Linked DNA regions of Arabidopsis thaliana. The protein of the gene in region 1 interacts with the protein of each later gene in a pairwise test. Each region holds a gene or a part of one and is shown in the gene's direction. Other genes may lie near its edges.

Region 1 (9,125 bases):
AGTTTATGTATTTATTACGTATTATATAAACACATAAAAACAAACTAACTGAAATTAATTGTTGACGTGGAAACATATATCTTAGAGAAATGATGACATGTGACTGAATTTGATCGGAGCCTGTATTCCACTAAACAAGAAAGATAAGGAGGTTACTTAAACAAAAGAAGAAAGAAAAAAGAGAATCGAGACTAGCTAATAGAATTATTTGTAACAAGGGACAGAAATCGTGGTATAGCGAGTCATAATCAGCCAACGCCGACCAAAGTCCAAAAAGATTAAAGATGAAAAAAGGGTCCCTTTGAACATTTTTCGTGTGCAAATCTCGATGGCAACTCGTATCAGATTGTTTAGAACTAGTGTGTAATATTAATTTAGAGGAATATTTTCCTAGCTAGGTTTTTTATTTTTGGGATTTTGCTTAACTATACACTCTAATAATAAAAAGTTTGATTGTGGAGATTGTGATCAATATTATGGAGATTGTGAAAACTGAGCTATAAATTATAGTCAAAAGAAACTCAAAACCATACATTTTTATATTAACAGCTATTTTGCTATGGTTATATGCTTTTTTCAATCCATGCAAAATAACATGTTTTGGAGATCATTTTTTTTTTTTCCAAACAATTCAACCTTCAGAAACTAAATAAAATTACTTCAACCAAGACCAAAGTGGAAATGAGAAAGCAATGATCTTTAGTTACTGTGTGCACAGTGTATGTGAAAAATGTCACTATTCATCACTCATCATGCAAGTGCTTGTTGATATGTTTGATTAGAGACTGAAAAATGTGAAAAAGTTACAATTCATGTTGTTATACATAAAATTGGAGTCTGGCGAAAAAATCGATCAATGATCAGTGTATGAATATTATATAGGCCTCATTATCATTCCATTGAAATTGGTAGCTTCAATGATCTGAGTTCACCGATTTTTCAATGTTTTGATTATTCATTTTCAAGTTCTCCTTTAAAAAGAGGATTCTAGAAATGTTTCCTAAAACTAACTCAATGTAGAGAAAAAAAACATATATTGCTGAAAATGACTCGACCCACTTGTTAACTATTCATTATATTTCTAGTAACTCAACATGGACTCATGATCATCATTGTATATAACAAAAAAAAATGCATTATTATGATTACATATGCAAGAGTATATCAATAGGGTCCGAGTTGACTATGCTACAGGAGAACGAAAAAAAACATTTCTTAACGAGTAGTATCAATTAATGTGACGATGATAGTATAAGATCATGTCTAGTGATATCATACGTACCATATAATTAGATCTGAAATAACCATTCAACAACGATCATTGACTATAAGGCAATAGCTCCCATGAATCGTCTTGATTTTCTTTAAGAAAATAAGACATTAACAAAAATGACGAACCCTACCACGAGAATGTAGTCAGTCTGATAAATTGTTGTAGGTTGGGAGGTGCATATTTTCCCTCCTTTCAAATTTCAGTTTCTTGACTTCATTAATGTTAATATAAATAAACATATACTGCATGATAAAAATGTTAATTTAACTGTAAATGTGAATGCAAATCTGAATGTAAGCCATATGTTTTAAATATTGTCTACCTAAACAGAGAAATGAATTAGTAGCCCAACCTAGCCATAACAAATAAATAATGAAGAAGGTCTTCTTCCGCCGAAGATACCAAAAATATATTATCTTCTATTTCAAAAAGTATCCCATTTGTTTCTAATTTCTATGGTACAATGTAGTTGTTGAATTGTAATTTTCTCAATGTTAATTTCGTTATCTACGTAAGCATTGTCAACTATTTACATAGTACATACAAGTGATAGTTATATATTAGCTCTTCCATAATTTTTAATTCTTATCAATATGAAAATATTGACAAATTTATACAAATCTGCATAGAAAACACATACAAAACAAATATGAAACAATGTTAAAAAAAAAAAAAAATATGAAACATTTTTTCTAATACACCTGAAAACTAAAATAAGGGGTAAATATATTAGAGGTAAGCGAAAAATCTACTACAATCTAAACCGAGATCATCCCAATGGTATAATTAAAGTCTAAAATCTAAATCGAAGGAGCAAAGTATTTTGTAAGGCACACGTGAAAGAAAGTAACTACGGGAGTGATTAATAAAAACGGGCCAATGATTTAACACTTTTATGGCATAATTAAACCAAGAAGGGACCAAATAAATATGACATATTGATACAAAAAGGAATGTGAAGAAAATCTCCGGTTCTACGAAAAGGACTTCCACTACTCTTTCCCACACGCTCCAGACCACTGTTTGCTTTCCTCTGATTAACCAATCTCAATTAAACTACTAATTTATAATTCAAGATAATTAGATAACCAATCTTAAAATTTGGAATCTTCTTCCCTCACTTGATATTACAAAAAAAAAACTGATTTATCATACGGTTAATTCAAGAAAACAGCAAAAAAATTGCACTATAATGCAAAACATCAATTAATTACATTCGATTAAAAAATCATCATTGAATCTAAAATGGCCTCAAATCTATTGAGCATTTGTCATGTGCCTAAAATGGTTCAGGAGTTTTACATCTAATCACATAAAAAGCAAACAATAACCAAAAAAATTGCATTTTAGCAAATCAAATACTTATATATATACGTATGATTAAGCGTCATGACTTTAAAACCTCTGTAAAATTTTGATTTATTTTTCGATGCTTTTATTTTTTAACCAATAGTAATAAAGTCCAAATCTTAAATACGAAAAAATGTTTCTTTCTAAGCGACCAACAAAATGGTCCAAATCACAGAAAATGTTCCATAATCCAGGCCCATTAAGCTAATCACCAAGTAATACATTACACGTCACCAATTAATACATTACACGTACGGCCTTCTCTCTTCACGAGTAATATGCAAACAAACGTACATTAGCTGTAATGTACTCACTCATGCAACGTCTTAACCTGCCACGTATTACGTAATTACACCACTCCTTGTTCCTAACCTACGCATTTCACTTTAGCGCATGTTAGTCAAAAAACACAAACATAAACTACAAATAAAAAAACTCAAAACAAAACCCAATGAACGAACGGACCAGCCCCGTCTCGATTGATGGAACAGTGACAACAGTCCCGTTTTCTCGGGCATAACGGAAACGGTAACCGTCTCTCTGTTTCATTTGCAACAACACCATTTTTATAAATAAAAACACATTTAAATAAAAAATTATTAAAACCTCAAAAAATCTCTGTTTCTTGTTTATATATCCAAACAAATGAATGTGTTAAACCTTCACTCTTCTCTCCACACAAAATTCAAAAACCTCACATTTCACTTCTCTCTTCTCGCTTCTTCTAGATCTCACCGGTTTATCTAGCTCCGGTTTGATTCATCTCCGGTTATGGGGAGAGAATGAGGAGTTACCGTTTTAGTGATTATCTACACATGTCTGTTTCATTCTCTAACGATATGGATTTGTTTTGTGGAGAAGACTCCGGTGTGTTTTCCGGTGAGTCAACGGTTGATTTCTCGTCTTCCGAGGTTGATTCATGGCCTGGTGATTCTATCGCTTGTTTTATCGAAGACGAGCGTCACTTCGTTCCTGGACATGATTATCTCTCTAGATTTCAAACTCGATCTCTCGATGCTTCCGCTAGAGAAGATTCCGTCGCATGGATTCTCAAGGCGAGCCTATTCACTTTTTTTCTCTACCTCTCATTTTTTTCAATGCTAAAATACGCCGCCGGAGAGTGTGTAGACGCTAAAATACGCTGATCGAATCGTTACATGCAGAGAATCTTTTTTTTTACAGTAGTGTGGTATTGTTTGGTTTACAGGTACAAGCGTATTATAACTTTCAGCCTTTAACGGCGTACCTCGCCGTTAACTATATGGATCGGTTTCTTTACGCTCGTCGATTACCGGTAAATGTTTTAAAAACGTCAACGTTAGTTAATTCTATTGTCTCTGTTTTTTTATTATATTGATATGACAAATAACAACCCCAAAAAGTCAGTTTTATTTCCCTTTTTTTTTTTCAATGGATCGATTTGTTTATTGACTTTTCTTCAGAAAAAAATGAAAACGACTAAAAATTTATTAGAGCAAAAAATTATAATCGGTATAGAATAATTTAGTAGAAATTAATCTTATATTGGAATGTACGTAAACGATAGAACAGGAGCGGGCTGGGGAACTTTTTTTCGTTTTTTAATTATTTTATTGAAATTTATATTTTCGATAAAAAATTACATTGACGTTTACATAATAATAGTATACTTTTGCAGTAAACTTTCCACTTCATATATCGGCTTTATTGAAAACTTTGTAATCATAGTGTTAAAACGCTCCTACTACTATATAATATTTTAAATTAATTTTGTAATTAAACTTAATAGAGTATATAGTAATCAATGATTATATTAATCAGCTTTAATTTCTGTAAAATAGGAAACGAGTGGTTGGCCAATGCAACTTTTAGCAGTGGCATGCTTGTCTTTAGCTGCAAAGATGGAGGAAATTCTCGTTCCTTCTCTTTTTGATTTTCAGGTAAACATATATTATCATTCTTTCTTTAACATTCTGAATTTACTCTGTTTTTTTAAGAAACTTTAATTTATGTATCTCTGTATAATGTAATGTAGGTTGCAGGAGTGAAGTATTTATTTGAAGCAAAAACTATAAAAAGAATGGAACTTCTTGTTCTAAGTGTGTTAGATTGGAGACTAAGATCGGTTACACCGTTTGATTTCATTAGCTTCTTTGCTTACAAGATCGATCCTTCGGGTACCTTTCTCGGGTTCTTTATCTCCCATGCTACAGAGATTATACTCTCCAACATAAAAGGTACGTAATATTTGTATGATATATGATCCATAATGTCATTTAGGTAGCACATTTTTGGGTTGGTTCTAACACATGACCAATTAGTACAGAAGCGAGCTTTCTTGAGTACTGGCCATCGAGTATAGCTGCAGCCGCGATTCTCTGTGTAGCGAACGAGTTACCTTCTCTATCCTCTGTTGTCAATCCCCACGAGAGCCCTGAGACTTGGTGTGACGGATTGAGCAAAGTAGGATTTGTTATATCACGTTTAGATGGAACAAGGGAGTAACAGATTGCTAATTAATGTCTTTTGGTTATATTTGACTTTCAGGAGAAGATAGTGAGATGCTATAGACTGATGAAAGCGATGGCCATCGAGAATAACCGGTTAAATACACCAAAAGTGATAGCAAAGCTTCGAGTGAGTGTAAGGGCATCATCGACGTTAACAAGGCCAAGTGATGAATCCTCTTTCTCATCCTCTTCTCCTTGTAAAAGGAGAAAATTAAGTGGCTATTCATGGGTAGGTGATGAAACATCTACCTCTAATTAAAATTTGGGGAGTGAAAGTAGAGGACCAAGGAAACAAAACCTAGAAGAAAAAAAACCCTCTTCTGTTTAAGTAGAGTATATTTTTTAACAAGTACATAGTAATAAGGGAGTGATGAAGAAAAGTAAAAGTGTTTATTGGCTGAGTTAAAGTAATTAAGAGTTTTCCAACCAAGGGGAAGGAATAAGAGTTTTGGTTACAATTTCTTTTATGGAAAGGGTAAAAATTGGGTTTTGGGGTTGGTTGGTTGGTTGGGAGAGACGAAGCTCATCATTAATGGCTTTGCAGATTCCCAAGAAAGCAAAATGAGTAAGTGAGTGTAACACACACGTGTTAGAGAAAAGATATGATCATGTGAGTGTGTGTGTGTGAGAGAGAGAGAGAAGAGTATTTGCATTAGAGTCCTCATCACACAGGTACTGATGGATAAGACAGGGGAGCGTTTGCAAAAGATTTGTGAGTGGAGATTTTTCTGAGCTCTTTGTCTTAATGGATCGCAGCAGTTCATGGGACCCTTCCTCAGCTTCATCATCAAACAAAAAAAAAATCAAGTTGCGAAGTATATATAATTTGTTTTTTTGTTTGGATTTTTAAGATTTTTGATTCCTTGTGTGTGACTTCACGTGACGGAGGCGTGTGTCTCACGTGTTTGTTTTCTCTTCAAATCTTTTATTTTGGCGGGAAATTTTGTGTTTTTGATTTCTACGTATTCGTGGACTCCAAATGAGTTTTGTCACGGTGCGTTTTAGTAGCGTTTGCATGCGTGTAAGGTGTCACGTATGTGTATATATATGATTTTTTTTTGGTTTCTTGAAAGGTTGAATTTTATAAATAAAACGTTTCTATTATATGAAGGAAAAAGTACATTGAACTCAATAATGGTCGTGGAGAAGGTTAATAGCTACGTGAGAGGATAATATGAGTAGTGGTGAGATTTGATTTTGGTGTGGCCTGTGGGAGCACGAAGCATGTGAACATGTGTGTTGTGGATCGAGTGTATGTTTTATTGAACGACGAACGTAAAAAGACAAAAGAAAATTGTATTTGTTTAAGACCAAAAGAAAAAAAAAAGTATTTAATGTTCAAAATGTAATAACCTTCCTCATTTTTGCCATAATTAAACACATTTCTTTGTTTTTGTTTTTTTGGGCAAAAGATTAAGGGTTTTATATACCTATTTTAACAACAGTAAATATACAAAAGAAAATCAAATTATGAAAAAAACAAATTACAAAAGAAGTAAAAAATAGTGGTTAATTTCTCTCTTGATTTTAGTAAAGAGGAACAATTAATAGGAGCAGTAGCATACATGTGATGTTGATCTGTCTCCATGTCAGAGAAAGTGGTCTCACCACGAAACCATAACGTAGCTACACCGTTCTATCTCTCTCGAACCCCTCAAACATTAGCCACACAAAAATACCATCTTTGACTATCCATTTATATATGTATGCACACGATTTTACAAGTAAAAAAGGAAATAAGAAGTGAAAGAAAAAGAAAAAAACTTACTGCAAAACAAAACATTTTACAAAAGTGTGTTTTAATCTTATAACTAAGTTGGTTTGTGCCGACAGAAGTGCACCCCACGTCGAGAAAATGTCTCCATCCTCATAATTCTAGTTGATTAGTTTAGTAATGTGATTTATTTATTTTCCATCGACGACATTATTTGTTCACCCTCCAATGAACTAATCACTCGTCTCATAGTCATATGCTTTATACTAATCATTTACTTATCTATCGGATTACAACGTTATCTACTTTCTATAAATCCTCATGACGCTCCTCTTCTGTTTATTTATTATTTTGGTTTACCTCACTTTTCCCATTTTTCAACCATACACTGATAATATTGACATAAACAAATTTTAAATCCAAATATCAAACATGCACTGTTACCATTTTGATTCCACTCAAATGTACGTAAGGAAATGTGTTACTGCTTTTACTCTCGTACTAGTCACTATTTATTAACTTTTTCTTTCCTTTTACAAAAGGTTGGCATGGTTTTGTAAAATTCATGACATGAATTATGAATATAAATGGTATGTTGTAAGAGCAGAGCATCAATATGACATGACAACCTGAACGTGAACCAGATGGAGTTATAAATAAATACGTACAAGATAACTATTACAGGAATATAAATACAAAATATCTTTATAAGAGAAAGAATAGAAGCTTCACCCACTACTATTTAATCTAAAATGATGCAAAAGTAAAGAGAGAGTATGGTTAGGTGATTAGCAACTGCTAAATGCTAATTATAAATAAATAATGACCAGCCCACACATTTGGACATATTAATCATCGGGGGATTACCTTTATCATTGTTTATTAACTTTTTATTTATTTTAATTCTCTTGCGGGTTTTGATTAGGACACACGGGGACACAAAGGGACCTAAGCTTATATATCAGCGTATAAAGACAATCATCTTTTAATTACTATCTTAATTGATCCTTGTCCTGTTATTTGGTACACGCGTTTGCCATTAGTTGCATACCTTTTTGTATCATACACTTCACGAGCACTTGGTTTCTCAAACAGAATATACATTAATTTTCTTATAGAATAATGGATAATGACAACTAATGGGAATGGGGTAGAGACAAAACAATGAAATTATATGACAGGAGTTGCATTCATTTTAATTTATAGAAAATGGGCAGATTTATTAGTATTACTTTACATACACATGTAGTCATGTAGATGTATATGAGTTTGTATCGTGTATATAAGCGCATGTAGATCATGTGGATATTAGTAGGAATAAAAACAGAATATATAATACGCATATTTTTAACCAAATCGCCTATTTATACATTCGTATTTCATAGCTATTTTGATCATTTCTTCATAATTATACACTACGTACATGTTACCATTACATGCAATCTATATCAAACTCACGTTACTCACCTCTCCGACTACTAATCAAGTACGTAATGGGATTTAATTATAAGCACATACAAAAGCATATTTTAACATTTGTTCTTAAAGCGAAACAGAAGAAAAAAGAAATGCGAGGGAATATATGCTAGAACATGTAGAAACAAAGTTTGCACATGGATTCTTTATTTGCCTTTAATCTTTAGAGAAGAAGATACACTATATATTCATTAAAATAATCAAACTTTGGATGCTTGAAAAGTAGAAAGAATTATAAAGTGATATATGAGATGATATTTAGTGAAGGAATCATTAAAATAAAAAATAAAAGAAAAGAGAGAACAGAGAAGAATCAATGGTGGCATGGCCCGACTCGTAGGGCGTGAGAGAGTGAGTGAACTTAGTTTCTCGAGGGAGCGTCTCTCATTTGTATTTTACTTTAGAAAAAAAATCGTGGGTTTGCTTTTTGTTGTTTATGGTCACAAACCAAGATTTAGTCACTATTGCACTTTCATATCTCTAGTGGACAACGACGTTTCCTCCTTCCCAAAGTCCTTTGTTTCATCATCAATCACTCTTTACCTAACCCAACCTATTCATGTTGTTTACAAGGACACTCGCACACACGTGTGACCGAAGTTCGAACCATATAACCAGGCACAGTTAGAATATAGTTTCGATTCTTTTTGATTAATGTAAAAAGAGTGTAAGGAAAAAAGAGGATGAACGTGAGAGAAAGGAAATGAGCATAAAAGAAAACCAATGAGCATTGAGCACAGTGACTGAAAGCAATAAAGTAAGATTGTAAGTTTTTTTTCAGATTGAATTTTTTTTACAGAGACTTCAGCAAAGGGATGAAAAA
Region 2 (7,040 bases), on another chromosome or scaffold:
CAGATGAAGGCGAGGAAGGGCCTCCTGGTTCTTCTAATGAGTCATCAAGCACAGAATGAAATAGCAGTCAAGTATTAATGCATATGCTTTCGCTTTGTGTTTGCGTTTGTTATTGTATTTATACTTCATAATATATTTTCTCCTGAGAAGTCTATGGTTTTAACATTTTAAACAAAGTTTATTTCTTAACAAAGTTTGTTTGCATTTGTGGTTGTTAAGTCACCTCTTTTGTTTATATTACCTTTAAAGTGTGATTTATTTTAATTCCTCTCATTAGTACACAACTATTATTGTTAGTGTAAAGAATCCATTTAACAAAAAAAAAGATAGAAGAAATTATCCATTTGAGACAAGATAATTGAATACAATAGTTACTAAAAGGTTAACTAGCCAAATTATTTGTTTGAATGATTAAAACTTTTTTTTGCACAAAAAAAAGATGATTAAAATCTTTTTTAAGAATATATAAAATTATGTATAAATTAAATTCTTAGATCATTTAAATACCCATATTATTCAATATTCATACTGAATCCGTTATCCGTATCATTCATTTTTTTTTTAAAAAGTACAGTTATAATAATAATTGTAATATCTTAAATTACACTTATTCGATTCTTTCAGTTATTATCCGGTATTTATCTGAAAAAGAATAAGTTTAGTCATGTAAATGTAAAAAAGAGTGAACTTTTGAAACAATTGAGGCATGTGAAAGCTTTTCAATATACATATTGGCTTGAACTTGAAGGATTGCTAATAGATAGTAACTGGATTCAAGGGACCCCATCAAGGTGAAAGATTCGCTCCTCTGAGTGCGTGTGAGGCAGCTACGATGTGATTGGTCGGAGTGTGGAACCCATGACTGCTCTTACGTCGGAAATCGTTTCTCGGGTTCTGTCTTTTTTAAAACACTTTATTATTGTATTAAAAAGAAAATAAAGGAAAAAGTTTTTTCAGTACGAGCGTGTTGTGATAACAGTTTTTTTTTTTTTTTTGGCGCCCTGAAAAAAAGGGCGGGAGGACGTGAAGAGTGTTATTGCAGATCCTTTATTTGTTTTTTGTTTTTTTTGCCTTTATCTCTGATTTTTGGGGATTCGGTAGCGTTCGAGATCTGAGCTGTTGCATGATTGCTGAGAGTCATCGCACGTGTGCCTTCCTTCTTTGTACGGTGAAAATAGTTTTTACCATATTTAAACCGGTTATAAAGTTTTGTTCAGGTTTAAAGTATTATGGGCTAGTAGTGTGATCTTTCGTGTTTGGATGAACTGATGAACAAAGAAATATCTAAAGATTGTACACAGTGTTGGTCATGCATACGATTTGAAGCATATAAAATCATGATTCATGAGAATGTCCCTTTGACATCTTCGATAAAATCATGAGAATTATGAATTATCGCAAGCTTTAAATTTAGAGATTTTTAATGTAATTCATCTTCTTCAATAATAATAAACCTCTCGATTAAGAATAATAAGCACCGGGGCATTGACATTGGGAGCCTCTACTCAGTACTCACCTTGTTGTTGTTTCACGGGTTACATATATATTAATATAAGAAGGCCTTTTAACAAAAATAAATAAATATAAGTCTGATTTAATGTATAAATGTATATCACGTAACAGTAGATTAATTAGTCGCCGCATCACGATTCTTGTTTCAAAGAAACAAAAAAGAATAAGACTGTGTTTGCTACACAAAAGAAATGTAGAAAACCAAATTGAGTCATATATTTACATTTCAGATACTATAAAGTATAAACTAAATTTTATGTAAAGGAAAATTAATTTTTCTATTTAGACGTGAGTATAAGCATGTAGTCAGACCAACTTTATTTGTTCGACAAATTTACCAACAAGTCAACTTTTGAAGCCTAATTTATGAAAGATAATCTCAACTATTACATCACAAAGAGAACGGTTGTTGAGATGATTACATAACTATAAAACTAGAAGCAACCAATATAAATGTCCAATGCTAATAAATCCAAAGAAAATAAATACTTAGGTAAGTGATCAACCCTATGATGTTAATTTTAAGACACTTGTTTACTTAAAAAAAAAAAATTTACAGTCAAATGTATCTGTATACAATTAATGTGTACGTTTTTGTCAAATGTGAAGAATTTAATAGATGGTTGACTCTTTTTTTCTTTTGAACCAATAACCTGCATGACATTTGAAAATCTGAATGCTAGCTTTTGTTTTGGATTGTTTGTACAAAGTTAACGTTGACTTGTCTACCAAATTTTATGAAACAATGAAAATGGATGCAAAAAATGAACTGCCTTATTATCTTAAACCAAAACAAATTTGACACATACAACGATCTTTGCATTATTTAACAAAAATAACTAAAAATTTCCACACGATATCAATTGCTTTATAATCATGGATGGTCTACCAAAGCAATTAATATAAGCTTGATGATCTTTATTCTCAAAGACCTTGTTACTTTCGGCAGCCTTTTATTATTTGTTGCACCAACCACTCATAAACTTTAAATACTATATATATAGTGTATAGAATAATTGGAATATATATTTCCAAAAATGTTCTTCATTTGAGAACTATTATTTTATGTTATTTTGGAGTAACTAAGAATTAATTATATAATATAAGTGAAATATAGAGTCGGAAATATGTCGTTTACTACATGAATTATCAAAAAGTTGTTATTTAATACGTAAATTTTATATATAAACATTTAATATATGTAAAAATTATTGACCGGTTATTTTACACAAACTTAATTGTTTATCAGCCAAAATTTATACCAACGTAAAAAAATTAGATAACATTAACTTAGTGTAAAATAACTTTTTTCTATATATTAAATGATTATATTCAAAGTTTACGTATTAAATGAATATTTTTTAAAAATTTGCGTATTAAACTATATTTTTCTCAAGCAAACTCAAATTAATACTTTAAATATCTCATATATTGTTCATAATTTACTTTTGTAAAGTAGACTTTTAAGTTTTAATCAGATAGAATACAAAAATTAAATTAAATTCCAATTAATTAAATTTTGATTTATCTTTTTTCGAAGAAAATGATGACAATCAGGTGAGAGGGCCTTTGACACCTTAAAAATTTGTCTAATTTGTTTTTTGATTCGATTTTAAAATAAATATTTCCATTGTCCTTTTAGTTTTCACTTTTTCAGATTAAAAATCACTTTTTTCCTCCTCCTTCGTTGCTTCCCTCCTTTCGCTCTCGACCGGAGATTCAGTAAACCACCTTCCCGGAGATGGGAAAATACATTAAGAAGTCAAAAGTCGCCGGTGCCGTTTCCGTTAAGGATAAATCTCACCCACCCGCTCTAGGTTTCCGTACCAGAGCCGCCGCCGCTAAAAACCTCGCCCTCCACCGTCTCCGTTCTCATTCCGACGAAGCAGACTCCTTTAACTACCTCCAGCTCCGGAGCCGCCGTCTCGTGAAGCTTCCATTACTCACTAATACCAGAAAACAGCAGAAGCAACAGCTCATTCCTAGTGTCAATCAATGTCAAACGAAAAACCCTAGGGCTAGTTCCGGTCCGGCGAAGAAATTAGAGCCGGATACGACGACGGAAGAAGCTTGTGGTGATAATGAGAGAATATCTAGGTCTGATTGTAATTTTGGAGATAAAGGTTTTGATTTGGAATCAGAAAACAGGTAACTTTAACTCTGTTTTTTTTTTCATTTTAAAGCTCCAAACTTTTTTTTTTTACTACAATACAGAGATTGAGTTTTGATATGTTGGTTCTCTCATAGGAGCATGATAAGTGATTCAAAATCAATACAAAGTGAGATTGAAGACTTCTTTGCTAGCGCAGAACAGCAACAACAGAGATTCTTCATTCAAAAGTACAAATCCCATTTTCTTTAGTGTCTTGATTCTCTTGAGTTTTTAGAGTTTGGTCTGACTTTGGGGGAGTTATGGTTTTGCAGGTACAACTTTGACATTGTCTCGGACAATCCATTGCCTGGACGTTACGAATGGGTCAAAGTGATGCCATGAAATGAGTTGTGTTCGATGTAAAGTTGTGTGCTTTAGGAAACATCTGTGTTGGAACAGAGGAGATGAAAATTGCACACAGACTAACTTTGTGGGGTTTTAGGGTTGGTGTATAACTTGTTAGTCAAGAATAATGTAATGTTAATCTCTCTCATTTGCTACAAATAAATGTCTAATTTAACTGTCAAGTTACTTAAATTAGTATTGTAAATCTCTTCATTGTTCTTTGGTTACTTCAGTGAAGGTCTGAGTTTTGTGGTTCTGCATTAGAGTTACTTTACAAGTCATATACTTTGGATTCAAGTAGCAAAAGTAGTGAACTTGTCTGAACAAAAACCTTAGTCACAGGTTTTATCTCTATCTTCTTTATTGATAGTTTGATACTCTAATCTCATTGGGCTTTTCACACATGTGGGTACTTGTACCAATTCCTCTGTCATACAGGTTGCAGTAAAATGCTTCGATTAGATTTCATCTCTCTCTTCTTTATTGGCACTGCACTCACTGTCTTGCTTTCTGGAATTATTTCTTCAAAAGTCTAAGTTAGTAGCACCTTTCATGCTAAAGATTAGGTTTCTTGGTTTCTGTAAAATATTTCACCTCTTTAGATCATTTGCTCATCGGATGAATCAAAACATTAAATAATGATGTCTATTCTTATTAGTACAAAGCGTTTAAGACCACTGTGTTATGTCTGATACTAGTACTAAATTCACATGATCATTTACATCTCTGAAGAATCAAAACCTTCTTGGTTTTGTCACCTTTTAACACATGAACAATATTTACTGATCAAGCCCTGCTTCTCCGATGGTTCAGCGTTTTTGTTTGGTTAATTTGTGAGCAAAACTGCAAAAGCAAGTCATAGGATGCTTAGAGTGATTTCATTCTCGTTGATAATAGTTGTATTAAGTAAATACGTAGTCTGTAATATTACAGTACCTGTCATGTTCCATCCCAACTCTACCACCGAAGCTTCACGGAGTTGCAGGTCCTGTACTCAACCTTTGCTTTGTTTCTGACATTTCAACTTCATATACACCCTTGCTTTCAGAAGTTTTACTGTCTTCCATGGCCATCCTCCTGATTTGAGCCTGTTGGATTGCTAGCACCTCATATCTGCAAATAATTTCCATGAACTACCAATGGTTAAACTCATATTTCTCGTGATCTTTATTCATCACTTTGTTACAAGCTAAAAACCCATCTCACTATCTCTATATGAAAGTGGAATCATACACAGAACAACAGAGTAAGGTGCATTTAACACCTACTAAGGGCATTACACCTGGAGTTATGGAACCATCTCAAACGAAATTTTTTGGCATAAGAAAGTACTTACTTTGCCACAATCTTCCTCACAAGCTGGAAATATATCCTCCAAAACTGATGTTCCTTTAAAACTCGCGGGCATAACTTGAATCTCAACTGTGAGAGTTCCTGTAACACGAAATCAATCTTGTTTAGAGCAGCTTTGAAAATAGATTCGTTTAAACCCAATGGTCCTATCAACCAAATTCAATTTTACCAACTGTGTAACAAAATCATCTTGAACTGCAAACACGAGCATGTTTACCATTTTCACTAACATGAGCCTAACCAGATTACAAGCAATTCAGGAAGATAGTAGCATCAAATGAACTATAAGATTCGGCACATAAACTCTGATCCGATTCTGATTCAAGTGATACCAGTGGACCAAGAGCTCTACCACTACCAGTTCCATCCATTTAGAAATCTTGCTTAGTCCTAAAGAGTAACTTTCAAATTTCCCTATAAGATTCGATCCATTGCTCCTAATTGACCAAACCCAAAGCTACAAGCAAATCAAGAAGACAGCAACTTTCTATAGGCGCTATAAGAATCATCAACTCTTATTTGAATCTAATTTAAATAGCACCGTTAGCTCCAAAATCCAATCATTGATCATTTGAAATCTCTACAGACAACAGCTACAAATTCCATTCATTTCAACACAAGTTCAATCATCAAAAGAAGCAAAATTTAGGAAATCAAGAAGACAACAGCTATGTAATAGGCTATATAAGAATCATCAGCCCACACACTCAGATATGAATCTAACTTTAAAATAGCACCATTGGCTCCAAAAGCTAAACTTTGATCATTTGTAATCTCTACAGCTACCAATTCCATTCATTTCAAAACAAAAGTCAATCACAAAAAGATTCAAAATTCAAGACCAAAAACCTTCGATTTCGATAACACGAGAACCGCGTGTTTCTCCTGCCAATCAGACAAATCCTTCTTCACATTTGCAGATGAACTCATTCCATTATCTTCATCTCCCAAAGGATTCACAGATACTTCTTCTTCTTCATCTGTTTTAGAAATTACAACCCAAACTACTAAAATCAACTTCATAAATCACAAAACTAAAAAAATCCTAACTAAATTGGGATCCAATTTTCGTAATTACCTTCCAGAGAGAAGTTCTTAAACGTATCAATGGTGAAGGATCTGACATGATCGATTAACTCATCAGTAACTCCCAAAATCTCATCTTTACCTTCTTCCTTAACACTCGATCCATTCTTCAAGCTATTCCCATCTGAAGATTCCTTCTTCTCTCTTAAAAAACTTCGTCGAATCCTCGAAGCTATATTCATTGCTGATCCTGTGAAGAAGAAGAAGAATCTGAAAATCTCCAATGCCTTAGAAAGTAGAAAAAATGGGCCTGGGCATGGCCTGTTACTGGGCTACTGGGCCTTATTATAATAACAAAAGGCCCAATAAATTAGGGTTTAGAGAACTCTTAACCCTAATGTCGCATCATATATAAAGTCGCCATTGAAGTGAAGCTGAGATCTTTTCGAAGAGCGGAAGCTAAGGAGAGGCGAATTCGAATCGAGAAGATGGTGTCTGGGTCAGGGATATGTTCAAAGCGTGTCGTTGTTGACGCACGTCACCATATGTGTGGTCGTCTTGCTTCGATCATAGCTAAAGAGTTGCTCAATGGACAGAGTGTTGTTGTTGTCCGATGTGAGGAGATTTGTTTGTCTGGTGGTTTGGTTCGTCA
Region 3 (8,358 bases), 1.3 Mb from region 1:
AGCAACGAAGGCAAGACCAGCCAAATAAGTTTCTACACATACAACACCAAGAGACCTCATGTTTGAAGACATACTATGTGTCTACAAGATTATCTTATTGTGCTGAAACCATAGACTGAAAGTCTGAAACATCGAAGGCTGGTTGATAGTTCTTATGAAAACTTTTGGACCGGATCGACATGGTGATCTAAGTTTTCGGAATTTTGTTTTTGGGATCAGTTTACCTGTGTTTTTCGGATATTTTTGAGTAAGTTTACTCTTTAAACTAGCACATAACTGTATCTCGATTTCTTTTGGGTTGGAGACTCAAAGTTCGAGACTCACAACTGTAGCACATGTAACTTGTTTATGGAAGTATAACAATATTAAATTTAAAACAAACAAAAATCATAATCTTTTTAGTAAACTAAAAATTGTCGAATTATATGTTTAAAACATCATTTTTTTAAGTGAAATTTGGTTTACATGATGACTCCCTTAAAAGAAATTGTTTAGCTAGGGTTCAGTTTCAATTATTCTGCCTAAAACCATTTCTTTATCAATCAAACTATAATAACAAAATTTGCTGTAGTTTACGTTCGATTTCAAATTATATGGCCAACTCCTACAGGTGATCCGAAAAGACATTCAATTTATTGATATGTGTTATTTTTATATCTTAATCTTAACTTTTATTAACTTTTAATGTTCTTCAAGTTTATAATCTTCATTGTGTAAAGACAGGAATCAAGTACTCGAGTTGACAAATGAATCGTATAAGTTAGTGAATATCTTTGGTCCTTTAAATCCGATCCGATCATCATTTTACATATATGACAGAAAACTATTTTCGCAATTAACTAAAGGACTGTGATTGTAGAACAGGATTTAGTTGTTAGATTAGATATGAGAATAATCATACAAAGATAGTCAGTGCATATGGCAGCAAAGATTGCAAAATTTAAAAGTCTCCAAAGAACCAAGGATCTTCTCATCTACCCGAGGCAGTTGCATAAACCCTAGTTTTTTACAAGAAAAACAAATAACACGCTAAACATTGCTTCGGAATCAAAATAATAACCATATAATTCTCAAATTATAGCGAATAATCCTTACCAAAAAGAAATTATAACGGAAAATTAAAGATGAATCCGAATAAATAATTGTTGAGTAGAAATAAAGAAAAATAAAAAATAGAGAAGGTGAAAGAAGATGTAGAGCTCCCTTCAATCCAAAGAAGAGTAAAAGCCATTAAAGGGCAAGTTAAAGCTCCTGAGATATGCAATCCATATAACCAAATCCTTTTTTACTTTACAAGGATTAGGGCTTATGGGATCCATAGCTTAGCAGCTTTTCTTTACCCTGCTCAACTCATGTTTGAACTTTAAGGAGCTCTACTTCCATCGTCAGATCAAGATCTATCGAAAAACAAAGTATCTTGTCAAATATATTATGGATCTGACATAAGCAAACTGTAAAGACCTTTAACTCTTCATAAAACAATGAGAAAGTTTTGATGAGAACGTGGATTAACAAAAACACCAAAAGAGGTAAATCTCTTACATTAGAGCTATGAAGGAGATATAAAGACAGAACAAAAGAGAGGAGGAACCCTAATTATTAACCCTAAACATACTTAGAGAGAAGGAAAGAGAGAGAGAGAAGAGGCCACGTCATGTTTTGGAAGAAATGATAGATAGAGAGTCGTAATTATAGTGGTTTAGATATTCGTGATAGAAGAATAAAAAGAAAAGAAAAAAAGGAACAGGTGGGTGCATCTGAAAAGACATGGGAAGGGTCTGACATTGTTTGTGTTAGATTCCCTACGCGTCACATGCGTCCTTCTCGGCTTTTGTGCTTCACTCTTTTTTTTTTTGGGTAAAGATAATAAAAATAACAATTATTATCGTTCCTGCCAACTACTAGTCCACTACATTTTTAAGATGTAACTTTGAAAATGAATTTGGCCGACCATTCTTTATTTCTTTTAGAAAATAATGTACAAGTGTTTCCGTTTGGTGACCTAATTCTAAATCATTTGTTAGCCCTAACAACTAGAAATTTCAACACGAAATAGTGAAATAGGTTGATGTACGGTCAGGATTATAAGTCTGATGATGTGGGCACGAAAGCAGGTAATTATTTCTCTGTCTGAGCAGAATCTATTGCTAGATTTATTACAACGAACTTGTCTTATTACCCTCACGAGTCTCGTCTCTTTCACAATTCAATGGCTTATTTTTAAGTGTGTTTTTTTATCCATCGTGTAAGTTTTTTTTTGAGTTGTTTAAATAAAAATTTGTATGATGAAAAATGTTCACTAGCAAAATACTTGACCCTGAAGTATCCTAAATTTTTCTGGTTCATACTCAAATGTTAGGCTTACTTTGTTTTCTTTGGTCACCTAAAAAAAAGTGGACTGATCAGCCTAATTATTTGTGCAAACTTTAATGATTGGGCTGCATCTCTTTCTTATGAGCCCATTATATGGGCCCAGAAGTTAACAGTTGCTTGTCTAACCTTCTCGGAATAGTTATTTGGGCCTTATATTTGGGCTTGATTCCACGCTTCATGAAACGGAAGTTAATCCGGTAGTGTTCTCCTGGTCCATGCTGCGGAAAATATGAGCAAGGTTAATTTGGCAACTTGTTGATGCAGCTTTTTATTTTCTTGGATTTTTTTTTTAATTTCTAAGTATGTTTAGGCAATGTTCCAATATTCATACAGCTAAAAAAATGTTAATATTCACAATCATCTTTTGTTTAACCACTAACTTATAACATTTTAAACCGAAGAATAATTGACGAGTCAATGTTGAGTAAACCGGAACAATTTTGCTTTTCATTTATAAACCTTTAAACGACGTCGTTACGATAGACGCTTCCAGCTTCGTTTTATTTCTAGCTTTAGAGCGTCTCTTTCCTTTTTCGTTTACTTTTCAATATTTTCCCCTAAAAATGTCGATTCCTTCTGTAATTGCTCTAACGGCTACTTTTTCTCCAGAGCATCATAAGATACCTCAACGTTAACGATAACAAATTAATTAAGATCAGTTTCGATCAATTGCTTGTGATCCGATTAGAGAGTTCCGGAGATGGAACAGCCGAAGAAAGTTGCTGATAGGTATCTAAAGCGAGAGGTTCTTGGTCAAGGTACTTATGGAGTCGTCTTCAAAGCTACTGATACAAAGGTGAAGATGATTCCTCTCTCAATTCTTCATATTTTTTGTCGATCCCATCGAAACTAGGGTTCCAATTCTGTCGTGTGTCTTTTGACGTGTCTCTTCCTGGGAACAATTTGGTTAAATCTGATAGCTCTTAGGTTTTAAATCAGCTAAAGTTTCGATCTTTACACTAATATGTGTTCTTAGAAGTCAAAGTTTGCATTTTTATGTTCTTAATGGATTTAAAGTGTGTAGTTTTTGTTTAAGTTTGTATAAGGAAGCTGATTTGTTTTGTTGTGGCAATTTGTAGAATGGAGAAACTGTAGCGATCAAGAAAATAAGACTTGGTAAAGAGAAAGAAGGTGTGAATGTAACAGCTCTTAGAGAAATCAAATTACTTAAAGAGCTTAAGCATCCACATATAATTGAGTTGATTGATGCGTTTCCTCACAAGGAGAATTTGCACATCGTGTTTGAGTTCATGGAGACTGATCTCGAAGCAGTTATCCGAGATCGTAATCTCTATCTTTCGCCTGGTGATGTCAAATCTTACCTCCAAATGATATTGAAAGGTCTTGAATATTGCCATGGCAAATGGGTTCTGCACAGGTACTATCATTGGAACTTAGAAGCAGAACTTGTTCTATCTCTAATAAGGTCTGTTTTGATTTAAACTTATGGATGATCATTCGTATTTGTTTCAGAGATATGAAGCCAAACAACTTGTTGATAGGACCCAATGGACAGCTGAAACTTGCAGATTTTGGGTTAGCACGTATATTTGGTAGCCCAGGTCGTAAGTTTACCCACCAGGTATGCTTTGTTTGTTGTGACAATGCTATTTATGTAGTAGTTCTGCTATCTTTCGTATCTTGATGTCCTTTAGCAATTTTCATAGGTGTTTGCTAGATGGTATAGAGCACCTGAACTTTTGTTTGGTGCAAAACAATATGATGGTGCAGTTGATGTTTGGGCTGCTGGCTGCATTTTTGCTGAACTTCTATTACGCAGACCATTTCTTCAGGTGAACCTCCATTTTGATTGTGTAGTAATCCAGTGCATCTGTCTACTTGTTTATCTAACTTACTTATTCCATTGCAGGGAAACAGTGATATTGATCAATTAAGCAAAATCTTTGCTGCCTTTGGGACTCCAAAAGCAGATCAGTGGCCTGACATGATCTGCCTTCCTGATTATGTAGAGTATCAATTTGTCCCTGCTCCTTCTTTACGTTCTTTACTCCCAACGGTTAGTGAGGATGCTTTAGATTTGTTGTCAAAGATGTTCACCTATGACCCCAAGTCTAGAATATCGATTCAGCAGGCTCTAAAACACAGGTACCTAAAAATCTCCCCTATGGATAATGCATAAGAACAGGTTATTTAGTTTTGTTCTCAAACCTTGATTTCTTTTTAAAGGTACTTCACATCTGCACCTTCACCTACTGACCCTTTAAAGCTCCCAAGACCAGTTTCCAAGCAAGATGCTAAGTCATCTGATAGTAAACTTGAAGCCATTAAAGTGCTGTCACCAGCACATAAGTTTAGAAGAGTGATGCCTGACCGAGGAAAGTCTGGTAATGGTTTCAAGGACCAGAGTGTTGATGTCATGAGACAAGCTAGCCATGATGGACAAGCACCAATGTCTTTAGATTTCACCATCTTAGCTGAGCGGCCACCAAACCGACCAACCATCACCAGGTAAAAACAATTGGTTTTATTACAGTCAGTTCTTGGTCAGCTTAAAAAATGAAAACTTTTGATGAATTCTTGATTTTTGGATTTGCAGTGCAGATAGATCTCATCTGAAGAGGAAACTTGATCTCGAGTTCCTATAGGATATCGCGTAACAGGCTTCTTCTTGACGTCGTTCTTCAGGTTCCTATAGCCTATAGGATCTCTCTTACTGGTTGGTTCCGTTCAGTAATTCCTGAAATTTTTCATATCACAACTAGTGATGACGAATAGTTTGAATCATTCTTTCTGTCTAAAATAAAGAATATAAAGCACAGATGATTAACTAATCATCATGTACACCCTTCATAGAAAAATCTCTGTTTTTGGCCTATGTTTAGAAGAGAGCTCTGATCCCAAACTCATTCTTCGTTCATTTCCAATTTAAAGTCCAGAATTTTTAGTATCGAACACGTTGGTGTATTACATATATGAATTTTTGATCTCATTACACTAATGCTCGATGAGAATGGAAACACATCCAAGGAATTTCAATAACTATGTAACAATGGTAAAGTTTTCTAAAGACCAATGTACGGCCACATCAATTAGAAATTCCCAATAAGTTCATATGGGCATACAAGAATAAAGCACTCATTAAGCTCATTTGCAACTGCTTTTTCCTCAGACGTTTATTGATCATTGGACGTCACCATCTTTGTCATCTGAAGATCCGACTCTGTTCGTAGCTTTCTTTGCCTAATCATGTAAAACAAGAAACAGAATCACATTATGGCAGAGTTATTATACATATAAAACTGAGCCGATCAGTTAAAAGGTTTTACCTCTTTATCCCAGTTTGTGAATATAGTGACTAAGGAAAGACACAACACTTGAACAGACAATGCTGTTACGATTCCCAGCCAAAGCCCCTACAATATGAAAATACCACAAAATAAAAGTTTCTATAAAACTAGTCTTGTGTTTGAACTTGAGAATGAGAAGGAGAGTTTAAGATTATTACCCGACCACCAATGTGGAAATGGAAACCAAGTAACAATCCTAATGGAACTCCAACAAGATAATATGATCCAAGATTCACACATGCTCCAATTTTCTGCCATCCACATCCTCTAGCAACCCCTGCAACCATAAATCAAAACTATTTGACCAGGATTCGAACCGGACATATATAAACAAGGAACCAAAGCCAATCTTCTATCATTCAAAACCTGAGAGTACGCATTGTAAGCCATCAAGGAAGTTTCCACATGCAACAATCGGTATCATTGATGCGGCATATGCGATGATTTTCGGGTCGCTGCTAAAAGCATGACCTAAGATCTTCCGAATCGACAACAAAACTGTTACAACCACAATTCCCTCGGCTACTGCTATGCCTACAATGACATATACAGCCAGTTTTGCCACTTGTGGATTCCCTGCTCCTAACTCGTTTGAGACCCTTATGCTGCAAGTTAACAGAAACACACAAAGTGAGATAGGTTGGTTTGATGAGATTTTTCTTTTTATGAGCTCTTGGATACATTTTGTTACTGACCTTGCAGCGCCACCAAGACCAACCGAAATCTGCCAGATTGTTAGGGAAGTATTTAGACTGAAAAGTTGCAGAAATGAGGTTGATCAAATATAAAGAAGAAGTACACAAACTCTGAGTACCATAAGACAAAGATAACCGAAATCTACCAGATTGAAAGCACCGAAGTTTCTAAAACCGGGTTAGGAAGAAGGCCTGAGGCAAGAACCAGAAGCTCGAAGGACCAAAGCTCCAAACTGTTTCAAACAGAATTTGATTAAAATGCAGATACTGGAACCTGAACAATGCAGCATTTTATGTTTGATGACTTACCAGACCATGACCGCTGAAGGAAAAGCAATTTTAGAGAAATCATAAAGTTCTTGAAAAGCCTCTTTCGAAAACCCGGTCCAACTATGCGAGCAAGAAGGCGAAAACTTGACATAACACGAGAGGAGAATGACGTTGAACCAGTAAGAGACCGAAATAGCAAGAGCAGCTCCTCTGTATCCTAAACCAGTCTTCAACACAAACAACCAACAGAGAAGCAAATGAAGACATGTAGTGATACCAGAGCAGACAAAGACAGGGAACACATTGTTCTGCGCTTGCAAGAACCTGTTGATACATTGAAGCAGTCCGTAGGCGAAGAGGCTCGGGATCATGTATTTAGCGTAGGAGCCAGCAACACTTGCAATGGACTTGTCTTGATGGACCAATACGAGAATCTGTTCTGTGTTAGCCCAAATGATTGAGAGAGGAACAGAGAGTATAAGAAGTACAAACATTGCTCTCTGCATTTGAATTCCCAATTTTCCATATAGTTTTGCTCCGTAAGCTTGGCCACATAGTGTCTCCAATGCACTTGCTGTTCCCAACTGTTTCACATACACACAAACTTTGAACAAAGTTACAAAACAGAGGATAACTAAGGTTATGTTATTGAATGCACTCTTTTTTTTTTTTTGACTGGATCGTGAGAGATGGGACGAAGAAACGTACGAGGAAGGTGAAGCCGGTAACGGAGGCAAAGGAGGTGGCGATAGAGGCGGCAGAGAGAGGAAGAGAGCCAAGATGGCCAACGAACATGACGGAGATGACTTGGAGAGAGTATTGAAGAAGGCTAACACCAATGAGTGGAGCAGAAAGCCATAGCTGCTTCTTCACCTCCTCCTTCACACGAATCATCGTCGTGTCTTTCTCTGTGATCAGAAGCGGAGGCGTCACACCATCTTCCATTTTCTCTCTGTTTCTCACAAAAAAATATGTCAAAAAAAAACTAAGAGAAATAGAATAACAACAAACTATCTCTCTCTTTGTTCCTAGTCTTTAGGGTTTGTGGAGCCGTCGTTGATATTTATGCATTTTTTAAGGAATGAAATCTTTTAATTATGTGGTAAATAGAAATTAATTTCTTTTCTACTTCCCCCTGAGGCAGATTATATTTTGTTTTATTAAATGACAACAACAATTGAAAGATGCTCACAATTCACAACCACGCATTTTTTTTTATATTCAAAGCTTCCGATTATATAGACAATGACGTGAGTGGCTCCTAGTTGCTCTTCTCTTATTCTATTCTCCATCGAGTCAGGAGACCACCTCAGACTCTGTCTCCGGTATTACTAGCAAAACTCTCCTTTAGCTTTCTTCACCAAAAGTTGTTATGATTACATAACCTATGAGGAGATTGGAAACTATGAGGAGAGGCACCATTATTGCTACATATTACAGAGATTAAGGCAATTTCCGAGAAAGTATTGAGGATTTTAGTACTAATGTACAGAAAGTTACAAAAGAGTGTGTTTACCAAGTGGGGAAAACTGAAGTTTCCAAAACAGGATTTTGGAAGTAAAGCCTGAGACTGAGAGGAAGACCATTTTCTTGTATGACCAAATCGTTATGATTCCATCAAGATATGATCAACATTAAAGATATGATATATACAAGAAGACATGAATCATATATGTGTACCACCAGTCTAACCAAACCATGAATGCAGATGG

What was found.
Region 2: the proteins of CYCD1;1 (region 1) and ICK3 interact in a protein complementation assay, tested with the Arabidopsis thaliana proteins (one large-scale study listed by BioGRID).
Region 3: the proteins of CYCD1;1 (region 1) and CDKD1;1 interact in a protein complementation assay, tested with the Arabidopsis thaliana proteins (one large-scale study listed by BioGRID).

The regions. Positions count from the first base shown.
Region 1 is NC_003070.9:26,436,610-26,445,734, forward strand, and holds CYCD1;1 (CYCLIN D1;1), read left to right. Parts: upstream 1-2,946; 5' UTR 2,947-3,043; coding exon of another isoform or gene 3,044-3,187; 5' UTR 3,188-3,405; coding exon 3,406-3,678; intron 3,679-3,830; coding exon 3,831-3,917; intron 3,918-4,443; coding exon 4,444-4,542; intron 4,543-4,637; coding exon 4,638-4,839; intron 4,840-4,928; coding exon 4,929-5,065; intron 5,066-5,149; coding exon 5,150-5,371; 3' UTR 5,372-6,398; downstream 6,399-9,125. Other genes in the region: AT1G70209 (uncharacterized protein), read right to left, coding at 3,044-3,187. UniProt on the Arabidopsis thaliana protein: May activate cell cycle in the root apical meristem (RAM) and promote embryonic root (radicle) protrusion.
Region 2 is NC_003074.8:9,057,737-9,064,776, forward strand, and holds ICK3 (Cyclin-dependent kinase inhibitor family protein), read left to right. Parts: upstream 1-3,099; 5' UTR 3,100-3,253; coding exon 3,254-3,660; intron 3,661-3,759; coding exon 3,760-3,852; intron 3,853-3,936; coding exon 3,937-4,006; 3' UTR 4,007-4,267; downstream 4,268-7,040. Other genes in the region: PRT1 (proteolysis 1), read left to right, coding at 1-59; AT3G24820 (BSD domain-containing protein), read right to left, coding at 4,981-5,122, 5,346-5,443, 6,212-6,342, 6,441-6,630; AT3G24830 (Ribosomal protein L13 family protein), read left to right, coding at 6,877-7,040. UniProt on the Arabidopsis thaliana protein: Inhibits CYCD2-1/CDKA-1 complex kinase activity without interaction with the complex.
Region 3 is NC_003070.9:27,712,040-27,720,397, forward strand, and holds CDKD1;1 (cyclin-dependent kinase D1;1), read left to right. Parts: upstream 1-2,870; 5' UTR 2,871-3,073; coding exon 3,074-3,169; intron 3,170-3,452; coding exon 3,453-3,751; intron 3,752-3,846; coding exon 3,847-3,955; intron 3,956-4,040; coding exon 4,041-4,166; intron 4,167-4,243; coding exon 4,244-4,479; intron 4,480-4,560; coding exon 4,561-4,842; intron 4,843-4,930; coding exon 4,931-4,979; 3' UTR 4,980-5,381; downstream 5,382-8,358. Other genes in the region: AT1G73700 (MATE efflux family protein), read right to left, coding at 5,515-5,574, 5,661-5,747, 5,840-5,958, 6,048-6,286, 6,377-6,433, 6,523-6,609, 6,686-7,230, 7,355-7,591.